Callithrix jacchus: one gene and its partner. The protein of the gene in region 1 interacts with the protein of each later gene in a pairwise test. Links are inferred from orthologs where the notes say so. Each region holds a gene or a part of one and is shown on either strand. Other genes may lie near its edges.

What was found.
Region 2: the proteins of melanoma-associated antigen D1 (region 1) and PITX1 interact in binary tests that used the Homo sapiens proteins (3 or more experiments, as listed by UniProt). The link is inferred for Callithrix jacchus from reciprocal best matches to the Homo sapiens genes MAGED1 and PITX1.

The regions. Positions count from the first base shown.
Region 1 is NC_133524.1:52,175,054-52,181,251, reverse strand, and holds the end of melanoma-associated antigen D1, read right to left. Parts: intron 6,159-6,198; coding exon 6,079-6,158; intron 5,988-6,078; coding exon 5,945-5,987; intron 5,692-5,944; coding exon 5,629-5,691; intron 4,461-5,628; coding exon 4,346-4,460; intron 3,105-4,345; coding exon 2,727-3,104; 3' UTR 2,719-2,726; intron 2,512-2,718; 3' UTR 2,303-2,511; downstream 1-2,302. UniProt on the Homo sapiens protein: Involved in the apoptotic response after nerve growth factor (NGF) binding in neuronal cells. Inhibits cell cycle progression, and facilitates NGFR-mediated apoptosis. May act as a regulator of the function of DLX family members.
Region 2 is NC_133503.1:33,464,383-33,472,346, forward strand, and holds the start of PITX1 (pituitary homeobox 1), read right to left. Parts: upstream 4,948-7,964; 5' UTR 4,785-4,947; intron 1-4,784. UniProt on the Homo sapiens protein: Sequence-specific transcription factor that binds gene promoters and activates their transcription. May play a role in the development of anterior structures, and in particular, the brain and facies and in specifying the identity or structure of hindlimb.

The sequences.
Region 1 (6,198 bases):
AAAAGTAACATAATCAAAATAAAGGCACTAACATTAATATAATATTGCTGTCTAATCTAAATCTAAAGATTTTGTCCTGATTTTGCCAATAGTGCAACTTACACAAGAATTTCAGGAGCAGGGAAGGAACACAATTAAACCTATTCTGAGGCATCAACAGGGCAGAATGGCCTACTGAAGCCTGGAGTAAGATGCAGTCCACAGAGATGAAGCTACAGGAGCTTCCACATTAGGCCTCCCCCGTCAGCCCCAAACCCCAAAGATGTACCCTCCTCCATCTTCAGGTTCCCTAAAACTCCCGCGTGATCTTCCACACCCCTGGTGTTGCCACAACCACATTGTCCTCCAGATAAACTTCGCCTGCCACTGATTGCCCAAGGCAGTGGCCCCAGGACTCTTCCACCTCCTCAGCACCTAACACAGCTTGGAGGATCTGCAGAGCTACATCAATATTACACAGATGAGATTGCTCTCATGTGGACCACAAGAGCTCTGGGCAGCCATAGACCTCATCTCTCATCTCCATCCCCATTTACATATGTGCAACTGAAGTGCAGAAAACTAAGACTGTTAGGGGCAGAGGTGACAGGATGCCCTGCTGGCTGCTTCCTAGGCCTGGTGTCTTCCCCACACATCACACAGCTGTCTGAATTTCCCTCCCTACAGGCGACTGACAATCTGTACACAGTATGAAGCTGGGGGTGTGGGTGGTGATGGGGAGAGGTGATACCTGAGGGGAGACCTGCGCCTACCTCAGGGGCTTATGGACAGATGGATTGTTCTTTTCCAAGGCTGCAAGGTGGAGTCCATCTACCTGAATGTGGGGGCCGTGAACACACACCGGGAGAAGCCTGAGGTAGGTGGAGGACTCCGCTGCCCAAGCTGGCTGTGGACACAGCACATGGTGAAAGCACCTTCTCCACAGAAAGCCTGTCCCAACCCCACCGAGCCTGGGTGTTTTGCACCAACAGGCAGAGCAACCAGCACCCAGAAATGCAGGAACCACAGCCCAGCCCTCAGGCACATGGAGATGGCGGGCTGGGCAATTCCTGCCAAAAAGGCCTCAGGCTGAGATATCCACAAGGCCTACCTGAGGGTCAGGATCCAGGCCTGGCTAAAAGAGGGGAGCCTGGCAGTGAGGACAAGAGGCAGGGGAGGGGCTGGGACCCTACCCTGCTGTCTCCTTCCTTTTAATCCTGTGCTCTCTCCTCAGAATGTGGACATCACCCGGGACCCTGAGGAAGCAGCGGACACCATCCCTACCCACTACCAAACCCTTCCCAAGTGCGCAGATTGCCTTTGCTCTTTTTTCTGCCCCAGGAGCTCCTGTCTCCACCCTTGTCCACATGTCCGGATACCACCAAGCGCCTAAGGAAGTTATGGCCTAGGCCTAATTTTGTGCTCAGTGAGAGAGCCTTGCTTCCAGCATAGACCTTGGCAGCTCAAGCCAAGTTCCTGCTCAGTCACAGTCAAAGGCTGCCTAGCTCTGCATGGAGCTTTGTCTTACTCTGTACTTCTTGTTCCTGAAGGAACAAAGGCTTCTCTTTCTCCCTGCAGGAGAGAAGAAGCCATTGTAAGGCCTCCTTCACTGTCCATAAGACTCTGTCTCTATGATGTGGCCCTGGTCCTCTGTGGGCGGGAGATTGTGAGGGCCTCCTAGAGGACAGGCTCCTGGGCAGCATTTCCAGAGATGGGGAGGAGTACCTGGGAGCCCATCCCTTTATGAGCAATGTGGCTAGGGGTATATCTTCCTTCTCACAGAGGAGACTCTGGCATCTAACTCACGGTGTTCTCTATTCCTACTCCTGCCACTCTCCTGCAGTTATTTCACTTTCCACGTGGGTTGTATAAACACCACCCTGGAATCACAGGCCAGGTACCCTTTATCTCCAGAACAGTCACCTTCTGACCCTTCAACTACCTACTCTCTGGACCTTATCATCCAGATAAGGCTCTGGACTCCAGGAGTTTTGTCTCCTCTGTGTTCTTAAATGCAACTGTCTGAGCACCTATGCCCTCTCTCACTATTACCCTTCTCACAGTGCACTCCGGGACACCTAGCAGCATATGTATCACATGAGAGTCACTGAAGTCATATTTATTGAATAAACTATACTAGTTCTTGGGTCTCGTTGTGTTCATTAATCCCGCCTTTGTATCCCAATCCATTAGCTGGATCTATCCTCATTTCCACCTGCTGAAAGCTGATCTACCCTTCAAACTAGAGCTAAGGTCCTGTCTCTCCTACATGTTGCCTGCTCCCCAAATGTAGGGAAAAAAAAGAAACAGGAGGCACATCTAATTCACTTTGCAATTTCAATGTTTATTTCTGATACCAAAACTTGACAGCACACAAGGGGAAAAAAAGCAATAGACAAGGAACAGCAAATAAATTTATCTTGCATGCCACTTTCAGTCAGTAGGATGTGGCTCTCTAGATAGCTGTGTTTAGAAGGAATCCGAGGATTCAGCCTCACTCAGGGGAAACGCTATTGCGATTGATAGCAATATCTGTGAACATAAGAAAGAAAAAGTAAAAAAATCAATGATATATATCAAATAATAAGAAGTATACATACCAAAGAGTGCTGCCCCATACTTTCCTCATCTCCCCACAATGAGTTTCCTAAGACTTCTAGCTCATACACATAAATACAATCCCATGGACCCCTTGTCCCCCAGAGACCCTAACTGCCCAATCCAAAGTGATATACATACCCAGCATCTCACTCAACCCAGAAGAAACCAATGGCACCAAAGTTGGCAGCAAAGTTGGCACTGGCTGTACCACCAGGACCAATAATGGGACCGGCAAAGGTCTGAGGAAATCTGGAGCGGGCATTCTGGTGGTATCTGGCCCAGAAGGTAAATGGAATTCTGGACCAGGGATCTCCAAAATCTCCTTCTTCATCCCAGGTCAGTAGCTCAAACTCAATGTCATCCCAGCTCCAGGGCCCAGACACAGCCTCATCTCCAATTCCCATGCGGGTTCTTGCTTCAGCCCGGGCTTCAGCCTCAGCTGCAGCAGCATCCAGAGCATCCAAGGCCTCATCTGCAGCCTCCATGAACTGTGCAGTCCAGTCACGAGGGTCTCTTTTCTGAACCTGAGATGAAGAATAGAAAATAAAACAAAATCTATTTACAACAGCCAAGATATAGAATCAACCTACATGTCCATCAATGGATAAAGGAAATGTGATACATACACACAATGGAATACTTATTCAGCCTTTAAAAAGAAGGAAATCCTGCCATTTGCAATAACATGAATGATACTGAATGACATTATGCTAAGTGAAATAAGCCAGTCACAGAAAGACAAATACTGGATGATCTCACTTATACATGGAATCCAGAAAGGTCTAACTCATAGAAGCAGAGAGTAGAATGGTAGTTTCCAGGGCCTTGGGTCAGGAAGGATGGGGAGATATTGGTTAAAAGGTACAAAGTTTCAGTTAGATAGGAAGAATATGTTCTGGAGATTTACTGTATAGCATGATGACTATAGTTAATAATAATGTGTTGTACATTTAAAATTGCTAAGAGAGTACATCTTACATGTTCTCATCACAAAAAAAGTCAAGTATATGAGGCAATGGAGAATTAACTAGCTTGATGTAATCATTCCACAATGTACATGTATTATGACAACATCATGTTGCACCCTATAAATATGCATACTTTTGATTAGTCAATTAAAAAATGAATGGGCTGGGTGCAGTGGCTCACGCCTGTAATCCCAACACTTCGGGAGGCTGAGGCAGGCAGATCACTTGAGGTCAGGAATTCGAGAGCAGCCTGGCCAACACGGCAAAACCCTGTCTCTACTAAAAAAAAATTTAAAATTAGCTGGGCATGGTGGTGACATGCACCTGTAATCCCAGATACTTGGGAGGCTGAGGCACAAGAATCACTCAAACCCGAGAGACAGAGGTTACAGTGAGCCAAGATCGCACCCTTGCACTCCAGGCTGGGCAACACAGCAAAACTCCATCTTGGGAAAAATAAAAATAAATGAATGAAAAAACAAAATACTTAAAAATCACATTGTACACCATAAATATATACAATTTTTGTCAATTGTACTTTAGTAAAGTTGAGGAAAAGTAGAAATACTTTAAAAACCTAGAAAAAAAAACCCAAATTCAAAACTGTATTAGCTAATATATTAACATATTTTAGCACCTAATACATGTTAAGTTTATGTAACAGCAACAACAAATACCACCAGTAATGTGGCACCTACCACGTGCCATACCTAGGATCTCATCCCTGCCCTGGGCCTTCCCTAGCCAGCGATACTTCATCCCTTGACCTATCAATGCGGGAACAGTTCCTCCATTACCTCTGCAATGAATCTCAGCACTTTCATCTTGCTAGTCTCATGGTAGGAACGGAGGCCCCAGAGGAACTCATACTCAGGAGGGTTGCTGTTGGGCACTCGTCTGTAGTCTAGGTATCTGAAAGAGCAAAACAGTCTTTGTGTCTACCTACACAGACAGAATGGTAGTCCGCTAATGAAAAATAATCCTACATTTTTTAACATCAGATTTCAGATAGCGACTGCCCCTCAGGCTCATTCCTGAACACCATCAGGATATTTGCCCCTTAATCATCAAGCCTTGAATTCCTGCACTAGTATACTAAGCACTCTCATAGAGCTGCAGGTGAGGCTTGTGTAGAGTCACAGAAAGGACATTTTATTTCACAACTTCTGCCTCAGCATTAGCTCCAGATTCTTGTAATCTTGTCAGTGATCCACAGAGGTCCAATGAAATGATTACAATGCAGTGCAAAGGATTCCCTGGCCCAGCTGTGGGAATGCCTACTTTGAGGATGGTGGATGGGCCAGGTGTGGTGGCTCATGCCTGTAATCCCAGCACTTTGGGAGGCCGAGGTGGGTAGATCACTTGAGGTCAGGAGTTTGAAACCAGCCTGGCCAACATGGTGAAACCCCATCTCTACCAAAAATATAAAAACAGCCGAGTATTGTGGCACAGGGCTGTGGTCCCAGCTACTTGGGGGCCTGAGGCACCAGAATCACTTGAACCTGGGAGGTGGAGGTTCAAGAGAGCTGAGATTGTGCCACTGCATTCCAGCCTGGGTGATAGAGCGAGACTCAGTCTCAAAAAAAAAAAAAAAGAATTCAACCATGAAGAGTATATGCAATAAATACTTCTGAGGACATATGTGTTTCTGTACACACAGAAACACATATGCATAGGTATAGTGTAAGAAATGAGCTTGAGAAGGGTTTTCTTTTTTTTGAGACAGGGTCTCACTCTGTTGCCCAGGTTGGAGTGCAGTGACACAATCATGGCTCAATGCAACCTCAGCTTCCTGGGTTCAGATGATTCTCCCCCACTTCAGCTTCCCAAGTATCTGGGACTACAGGTGCATGTCACCATGCCTGGCTAATTTTTGTATTTTTTGTAGAGATGGGGTTGCGTTATGTTGCCCAGGCTGGTCTTGAACTCCTGGGCTCAAACAATCTGCCCACCTAAGCCTCCCAAAGTGCTGGGATTACAGGCATGAGCCACTATATCCAGCCAGGAAGGGCTTTCTAAGGCTGACCAGAACAGAGGCAGAATCATAAGGAGCAGGAAAAGCCCCTTAGGCATCACTTACTTCTGCTTTACAAACTCGTAGGTGAGAAGTTTCCTTAGATCTCCAAGTAAGGGATGTCTCACCCTGAAAGTAAAAAAAGGAAACCTGTAATCAGAGGCTATGACCGTGCCCAAAGAGCTTTCCAGAACAGAGGTCAGAGATGAGAAAACAGGCAGAGAGTTCAGAACTGTTTCCCCATCCACCCAGGTCACATCCTTGGGCTCTGAATATCCCCAAACCAAACTCTCCAGATCCCCAGGTTAATGCAATCCTGGGACCATCCTCTGTTGCCAAAGGATGGTACAAACAGGCACGAGATGAGAGAGCCCAATCATACCCAGGACGCAGTCCCATCTTGCGTAGTGCCTCCCAGAGGACAGCTGCAATGGGAGGCAAGGGGAGACAAGGGACGGAAAATGAGCATGGAAATCAGGCTGTGGCCAACCCCCAGCTGCAGGTCCAGCCACTCACCCTCACTGGCACGGTTGCCATTCATGAAGATGACACCCAGAATCACCAAGAGGAGACCGAGCTTGGGTGTGTCTTTGGTCCTATAGGAATACAGAAATATGTTTTCCGCAGCCATTTGCA
Region 2 (7,964 bases), on another chromosome or scaffold:
TTGCCGAGCAGGATCGCACCGAACGGGCGCCTTCGAGCCAGCGCCGGGGCGGGGGCAGAGCCCAGGGCCGGTTCCGGCAGCTCCCAGCGGTGTCCTCGTCGAGGGGCCGCCTGCCCCTCCTCCTCCAGCCTCTTCTCCCGGGAACTCAGCCCGGCTGAGTGACAGCAGCCTGCACTCTAATGGGCCCCCGGATGCTGCCTCCTAATTAGCTTGGACCTTCTCCCCTAAGGCTGCTTCTCAGGCCTCCCTCTCTGCACCGCAGTCAATTTTCCGGGATTGGGATAGAAATGATGGCTTCTAATCAGACGAAACGTTTTTGCTGGCACTCGGCCTTTGGAGAGTACAGAGGGAAGACCCCAGAAGCCCAGCCAGGCCCCACAGCCTCTTCTACCTCTCCCCTTGTTTTGCACCTTATCCGTTAGCAAAATGGGCCTGGCCTGGCCTTGGCAGCCTTTGCCCTTCTTCAGGGTAGCTTTGTCCCAGCCTGGGGGACTGCATCCTGGCTTCCTAGGGCTTCAGGTACAGGCCTGGTAGGCTAGGTGACTGCTGTCTCCCAACCCTGGGCCAGCAGCCCAGGAAGCCCTCAGTCTTCCAGCTTCTTTCCCACATAGTGGTGGCTGAGCTGCAGCTCCAGTGGGCCTTCATTGGGCACAGGCAAAGACATTACTCTCCCACTCCCAAGAGGGATCCTCTCCTCAAGTCCTTGCATGTAGGTGAAGTCTGTTGAAGGATTTTGCTCAACAATTGTTAGCTGGTCCTGAGACCACAGTGTATTGAGCCAACAGGCTACAGCTGGGGCAGCAAGGCACCGCCCTGACCTGCTCCTCTGACCATAGGCGGACCCCAGACTGCCCTCTGCCCCTCACCTGTGACCAGCTCCACCAGACACAGCAACCCAAGGGAGCAGCACCAGGGAGATTGTCAGCCTGGGAAAGAAGCACTGCCTTGCTCTCCAGGGAGGTGTCCAGTGTCCTCACCCCAAAACCCAGTGCCTCCTCACCTCCTGGGTGGGTGGCACTGACGGTGCAGGTATCAGCCTCTGGGGCACTCTGCAGGCTCTGCCTTTGAGTCCTCGCTTTACCCCTTCCCATCACAGGGAGACACCCAGGGTCAGGTTGAGCTCTTGTGAGGGATGCTGGGGTCAGGGGCAGGCACACAGTGTGGAACGAGGCCTGCCTTCCATTCCCTCCATGTTAGCCCCAGCCCCCCTTGCCCCCCAACTGTGGGGCAGGGAGAGACAGCAGCTCCTTAGGGCCTGACCCTTTCTCACTGTGCATCTGTGACCACAGGAGGCAGGGTCTGAGGCCGGAGGGAGGACACTTCCCAGGAGTTTGGTTGGGGAGGCTCCTGCCTTCTTCCAAGCTGAGATCTCCCTCCATGAAACGAGTCCTGGCCACGGGGAGGGGGACATGGAGAAGCACAGTTGCACAGCATTTGCCCTCAGCTCCACCTTTACCACATTTCTTGGCTAAGTCTCCTGCAGCAGAAGATCCCTCCTTTCAAGGAGATATTCAGGTGCCGCAGCATGCTCGGGAGTGTCCCTTCACACACCATTCTCCCTTTAGCTGTCTTACCGCATAGAACAGCCTGCATGCATACAGCATGGGGGCACGCACGCGTGCGCGCACATACACACACGTCCTGTACATCCATGCCAGCATGCTCTGCACACACATGCACTCACTGCATTATGGAAGTGCTGAGTTGAGGCATATATGTGCTACTTGGCATGAACGCTGGCTGGTAGGGGATAGGAGGTGTGTTCTAACCCACCACATGTCAGGCCAAGGTGGGAAGCACAGTGCATCTCTGAGCAGAGACTTAGAAATGAATGGTCTGTCTGTGGGCATCCAGAGGAGGCTGGGACTCACAGCCCCTTCATTTCCCGGAGGGACCAAAGTGACTCTTTGGGCTGTCCCTGGATGGGGACTGTTTTGTGACTCAGCAGCACTCACTGATTAGTCTGGGGCCTGTATCCTTACTGCTGGTGCATTTAATGCAGTTATTGAGCACCTGCTGTGTGCCCCTCTGGGCCCAAACCTCTGGCCAAGCTCCAGGCAAGCACAATAGTCCCTTTATTTGGCAATCTCGTTACCTGCTGTGTGGATGGAAAAGCCCTCAGACTGTTTCAGGTGAAGCCCCTATCCTCAGGGGACCTGAGACCCAAAGAGGGGATGGGGCTAGTGAGGCCTGCTAGGGGAGTGTGTCCCGCTTGGCCTGGGCAGCACTGAGTGATCAAGGAGTGAGGAGGCTGTGGCCTGATCCTGGGCATTGGCTGGGGAAGGGACCTGGACATGCTCTCTGTTCTTCCCCGGCTACACTCTCTCACTGGCCATTGTCCCAGTCAAGACAGGGGCTTCTTGCACACTCACAGACACATCACATACACAGGACAGAAGACAGCACTCTTTCAGGAGTAAGAAGAGGCTTGGTGTTCCTCCAACTGTGCTGTGTGACCTGTGTTTGCCTCAATATCAAGGCTTGATCTGCCCTGTGCCTCAGTTCCCATGTCCAATATGGGACTCTGTCTGCTGCTTCAGCATCTAGCTCGCTTGCTGATGGGACTCGAAGAGAGGAGGGAAAGGGGTTTAGTGGAGCTGGAACCATGTGTCCTATTCCCCACACCATCCCTCGCCACACAAAGTCAGCAATGATTCTGTGATTCTTTGGAGTTTAGGGTCCTGGCTGGGCTGAACAGAAGAGCCTGGGCTGTTGTGGAGTTGAAGCAGTCACCAAGAGGACCCTTCCTGAAGCCGGGCTCACTAAAAACAGCCTGTGTCCAAGAATGGTTTAGTAATGTAATTGGGGAAGGGTGGTTAGGATGCTCTCATGGAGAGGTATCCTTCTACCTACCCTTGGGGGCACCCTGCTCTAATCCTTGCTCTGAGAATCAAGGTATTTTAGAAAAAGGAAGGAATGTGCCATGGCCTGCTACCAGGGCTATCCTTGACTCTCTGGGACATTCCAGCCCTAAGCCTCTTAGTCCGTGGAGAGGTTCAAACTTGAAAACCCAGTTTTGGTAGTGCAGCCTAGACCACCTACCTCTTCTGCCTAATCTAACACCCCCTCCCCAATAAAAGCTCTTGTTCCTTTGACTACAGCAATTACTGGATAAGCAGGGAGGAGGGTGCTCAGGTAGGGGCTGGAAAGACCTCACTGGCTCCTTTAGGCTTCCTGGGACCCCAGTCTGAGGCTTCCAGCCAATTGAGGATCCCCAGCCTGTTCCTGGGAGAGCCAGGATGTATTTGGGCAGGACTGCCACCAGTGAGGCACAGATGGGATTACAGAACTCAGGACTCCGTGCTGTGGGCCAGCGGCTGGTAGGACGAAGGCTCTCCCGGCCCACCTCTCACCTAATTCCAACAGAAGTTTTCTAGATCCTGAGAATGGCTGAGCTGTGGGGAAGAAGACTAGGAAGGAGGTGCAGCTGGTCACACAACTGGGGAGCAGAGGGGCGGGTTATGATGCACCACAGCCTCCTCTTCCCAGCGGCTAGGTGGGAGAAGAGCACCCTGAGTCTGTCTGGAGGCCCCTGCATCCTATAGTCCAGACAGCCTGGTCTCCGCGCCCCAGCCCACCTCTTTTCCTTTCCTTGGCAGAGATGCGGGAAGCCCAAAGCAGCCCCATGAAAGGGCACGGGGACAGCAAGTCTTCTGTGCTGCCCCGGTTGCCTGTAGCTTTTGGCCTGACTACCCTAGACCTGAACCCTAGACCTGAATCCTCCCTCAGTGGACAGCAACCTGGGATTTCCTCCCTCTGGACCTGGTGGCTTTCAGAGGTCACAGCGATGTCCAGAGAATACACAAGTCTTAGTTTTTCAGAAAAGTGGACTAACTCGTTGTAGATTCAGGGAATTCCTAAATCGGAAAATCTTGGGACCCGGATTTCAGCCTGGGGTTCCCATGACTGCCATCCTGGCTTTGGAGCCCTGCCTTTGCCGCGGGAGAATGGGCTCCAATTTACGAAGCTGGTCAATTTCAGAAGTCCGAGACCCGGTTCTTGAGAAGCGGCTGCGTGCTCCGGGAACTGCGTCAACAACCAAACCCGGGAGAAGCCGCGGGAATGTCTTTATTGGACGTTAAGAAGGGAATTTGGGGTTTTTCTCATGGGAAGAAAAAGCCGGACCTGTGCCGGCGAGGGCAGGCCGCGGTGGGCTGGGGGCACCTCCGAGCGCTGAGGCGGGACGTCGGAGTCCGGGGCGAAGAGAGCCAGGGCGCTGGCCGATGTCTGCTGCTTTTCGTTATCATTGCTGCCCGAACGAACGAACGAACGAACGAATGAAGCGGTTTCGTTTAGGAAAAATACCCTCTTGATGCGAAGCTACGGCCGAAGTCCCGGGCCACGCAGAGGGGCCAGCAGTTCCATGGGTGGTGGGGCCCTCCATCCCTGGACGCAGTGAGGAGCAGCGGGAGGCCCTCTCTCCTGCCCATTTCTCCTGGGGGTCGGGAGGCCCTGCCTCCCGCGCCGCCGCTATGGGCTGCCACGGGGTTGTGCCCTTTGCGGAGCCGTGGCCCGTGCCCCCGAGGCTGCTACCCGCTTGGGGTGCCCGGGGCCGAAGCGGAGGGTTGATCCCACCGGTTAGGTGACGGCGGCTATGATTGTGCCCTGGGCGCACGCACGGGCTCCTGCCTCGAAGGCTCCTGACCTTCCGCGCCTTGCGCTGTCGCGTGTCGCCGGCTGGACCCACACACGCCAGGAGCAAACTGCGCAGGACTCGGCCGGCCGCCACCTCCCTGCTCCCCTCCACCGCGGAGACCCTGTGCCCCTAGCCCAGCGTCTCTTACCCCACCTGGGCAGCGCTGCGTCTGCCGCTCGTCTGCTCCGGGCTCGCCCGCCGCGGACTCTGGCTCAGGTTTCGGCTCCGGCTGGGGCCCGGGATCCAGCTCTGGCTCTGGCTCTGGCTCCGGCTTTGCCAGTTCCTTCGGCCCCTGCTGGTTCGCTACATCCCAGAGCGCGAGGCCGGGGCTGCCTTAGCTCGGCCCGCTCCTCCCGCCGCCGCCGCCCGTCGCCCGCGGGGAAGGCGGGGACACCCGCCGGGAGGCGGGAAGGGGGGAGGGGAAGCTAGGCGCTAGCCTGGACCTGCGGGGAGGGGCGGCGCGCAGTCCCGCCGCCTAGGGGTCCCGGCCTCCCTCGGGGCGCGGGCTGGGGTCCGCGCGGCTGGCAGCTGAGTCTGGAGGCCGAGGAACGCGCCCTCGGACCTCCGTGGAGGGGCCTGGCAGCCTGCGAAGCCGCAGCGGGTCCCAGCCTGGCCCGGGCGCCCTTTCTTTCCCAGGGCTCAGTTTCCCACCTAACTCTTGAAGGGCTGGCCCTACTTCCGTTTAGACGGGGGCTGGTGGTCTAGTTGCGGGGGACGGTTTGAGATTGGACCTTTCTCCTTCCTGCTCAGCCTGCGGGAGGGAGCTGGTTTTGCGTGTTGGCAGGGAGAGTCCCTGCGCAGAGCGTGGCAGCCCAGGAGGTTGGCGGACAGACCCCAGGGTTTCTGTGTTTGGGTGTGGGGGTGCCATCCGACCTGCCCTGCTTGGCGGATTGCCTCCTTCCCTCTCTTCAGGGCCTGGGCTGGTGAGGAAAGGGGAGACTGACCTCTCAGGACAGACACTTGTGCGGCCCCTTGTCCAACCCCTGTGCTTGCACATCCCCCAGCGGCCACCCTGCTCCGGGCTTGCGAACGGTGACGCCTGCACCCCTGTGGCCCTGCAGGCCTGTTCCTGGCTGCCACTGGGAGACGGGCTAGATGGAAGGGAACTGGGAGCCTGCCCTTCGCCCACCCTCGGGCCACAGGGCTCCCCAGCGTTGCCCCGCGGCCAGATAACCCTGTGCCCAAAGTCTCGTGGGGGAAACCAATTGACCGAACTTACTCTTGGTACTCTGAAGTGCCCAGTCTGAGCCTACTTGCTGCTGGGACTCTGGGATGGGACCACAGGGCAGGTCTGGCTGTGGCCTGTCACTCTCAGGAACTGGAGCGGCCGAGCCTGCCTTCCGACGGCCATGGGATCCAGAGCAACAGTTTCGGGAGCAAGGTGCCGGGAGATGGCAGCGCGGCAGCCGGGCCTGAATGTTTCATGAGGTGCCGTCAGCAGCGGCGCCTCCCTGCCTGGTTCTCGCCAACAGCTGCTGCGGGAGAGGCCACGACCCGCGCCGCCTTGGCGTCCTGCTAGTCCGTGCCTCCAGGGCTGCTTGGCCTGGAAACGTAGAGACCCAGGACCCCTTCCCCAGCCTCCGAAAGGGGAAGCCTGCCCGACCCAAGCTCACGGAGGCCTCGGCGTTCAGGCCCTGCCAGGTGGCCCCTGCCCTCTGTCGTGCTGTTCCAGGGACTCCATACCCTCCTTTCAACCGTCAACAGCAGGAACCCCTCTCCAGTGTGTGTGTGAGCTCTGTGCACCCAGGGTTGCAAGTTAAGATAACGAGTCCCCGGTGACCGCACTAGCAGACCTGGGCCTGGGGAAAGTGCATCTACTGTCTTTGGACCCCGCGCTGTGGGAATTTTAGCCCCAACTTCTACCTGCTCCTGTTGTCTGCTTTTTGTGTGAAAAAGACTTGTTGGGTCCAGCCCTAGTGCTGCTAAGCCAAGGCTGGCGCATCCAACCTTGTCATGGGAAACTTCCTTATACTCCAAGCAGCAGTGGCCTCTTTTGGCATAAATGGAACCACTGGACCTTTACTATGGAGGGCTGCACAGGCACTCCTGGGGTGGCTTTTACTCTGAAGTCTGTAGCAGGAAATCACACCTTCCTCTCTCCCTGCATGCTAGCAATTTTCCGAGTTTTGTTCCCATCTCGAATGAGATTTTCTGCATGCTCTCATTCCCAGGCAGGGCCTCTGATGCCAAAACATGCTGCCCCCTGGCATCTGATGGCCTGTGCTGGAATCTTGTCAGTGGCTTTTACTAGTTGTGTGTGGCTTTGGCAAATAACATAATCTTTCCCAGCCTCAGCTTCCCCATCTGTGAAATGTGAGAGTAAGAGTTCCTGCTGCTTTCTTTGGGAAATGGATGAGATGATGATGGTAAGGGGCTTGGCCCTGAGTCCTGTGTATAGAGTGGCTGAAAGCGAATGGCAAAGCCACCAGGTTGCTCTTTAAGAGAGTTTGCTCTTATTTTGTTTAGATACTTTCCCCATGGTGGTCATGTTAGTTGAGTCTAGCAGAAACAGATTCCTTTGCTGGTTTAGTTTATCTGCCCTTATTCCCTGCTTAGCTGCTAGGAAGTTTTGGTCCAGGAAAGCAGGGCAGGCTGGTGGGTGGGGCACAACCCCACCCTGGGACTGGAAGTCAGGAAGTTCTTAGTGGAACTTGAGGGGGGCGGGATAAAACACACTTTTTATAATCTTACTTTCCCTTCTATAAAAATATATATATTTTGCAATTTCCCTTTAGTTTTGACATCTTTGGGAGCAGACATCTTGGCACAGTGGAATCAAGGAATCAGAGAGAGAGAGGAAGTTTGGAGCAGGATTCACCAGGAACAGAAGTAGCAGTCTCTGTTCCTGAATATCACTTTAGCTCTCAGCCTCCAGGTGCCCCATCAAAAAAGCTCAGCGGAATTGGCTGATGAATTTTCTTTGTCTTTCAGTCCAAACTGATGTGCTTTCTCTAACAGAAATTTTTCTCCCTAGTGCAAAATCCTCTGATGAATTTGTCACATGGGTTCACATAATGGGCAAATGTTTGCAGCCACTGTTATACAGAGGCCATAACACTTCTTCAGGCAGTGTTATTTTTTTTTTAAATCTTAATACCAAGTAAAATTAGGGAGAGTATTCTTTTCCTTCACAGTTCTAATTGCAACTATTGAAATGAAATTTTGTATAATGATAGACGAAAGCCTGTTGCCCTTACCAGTTGTAAGCTTCTTGAGAACAGGGCTGAGCCTTTTTTGGCAACAACTATAGGACCCTCCCCAGGGTGAGCAAGGGATTTGGTTATGCTGATTGGCTGGGTGCAGCTTACATGCCCACTCCTGCACCAAT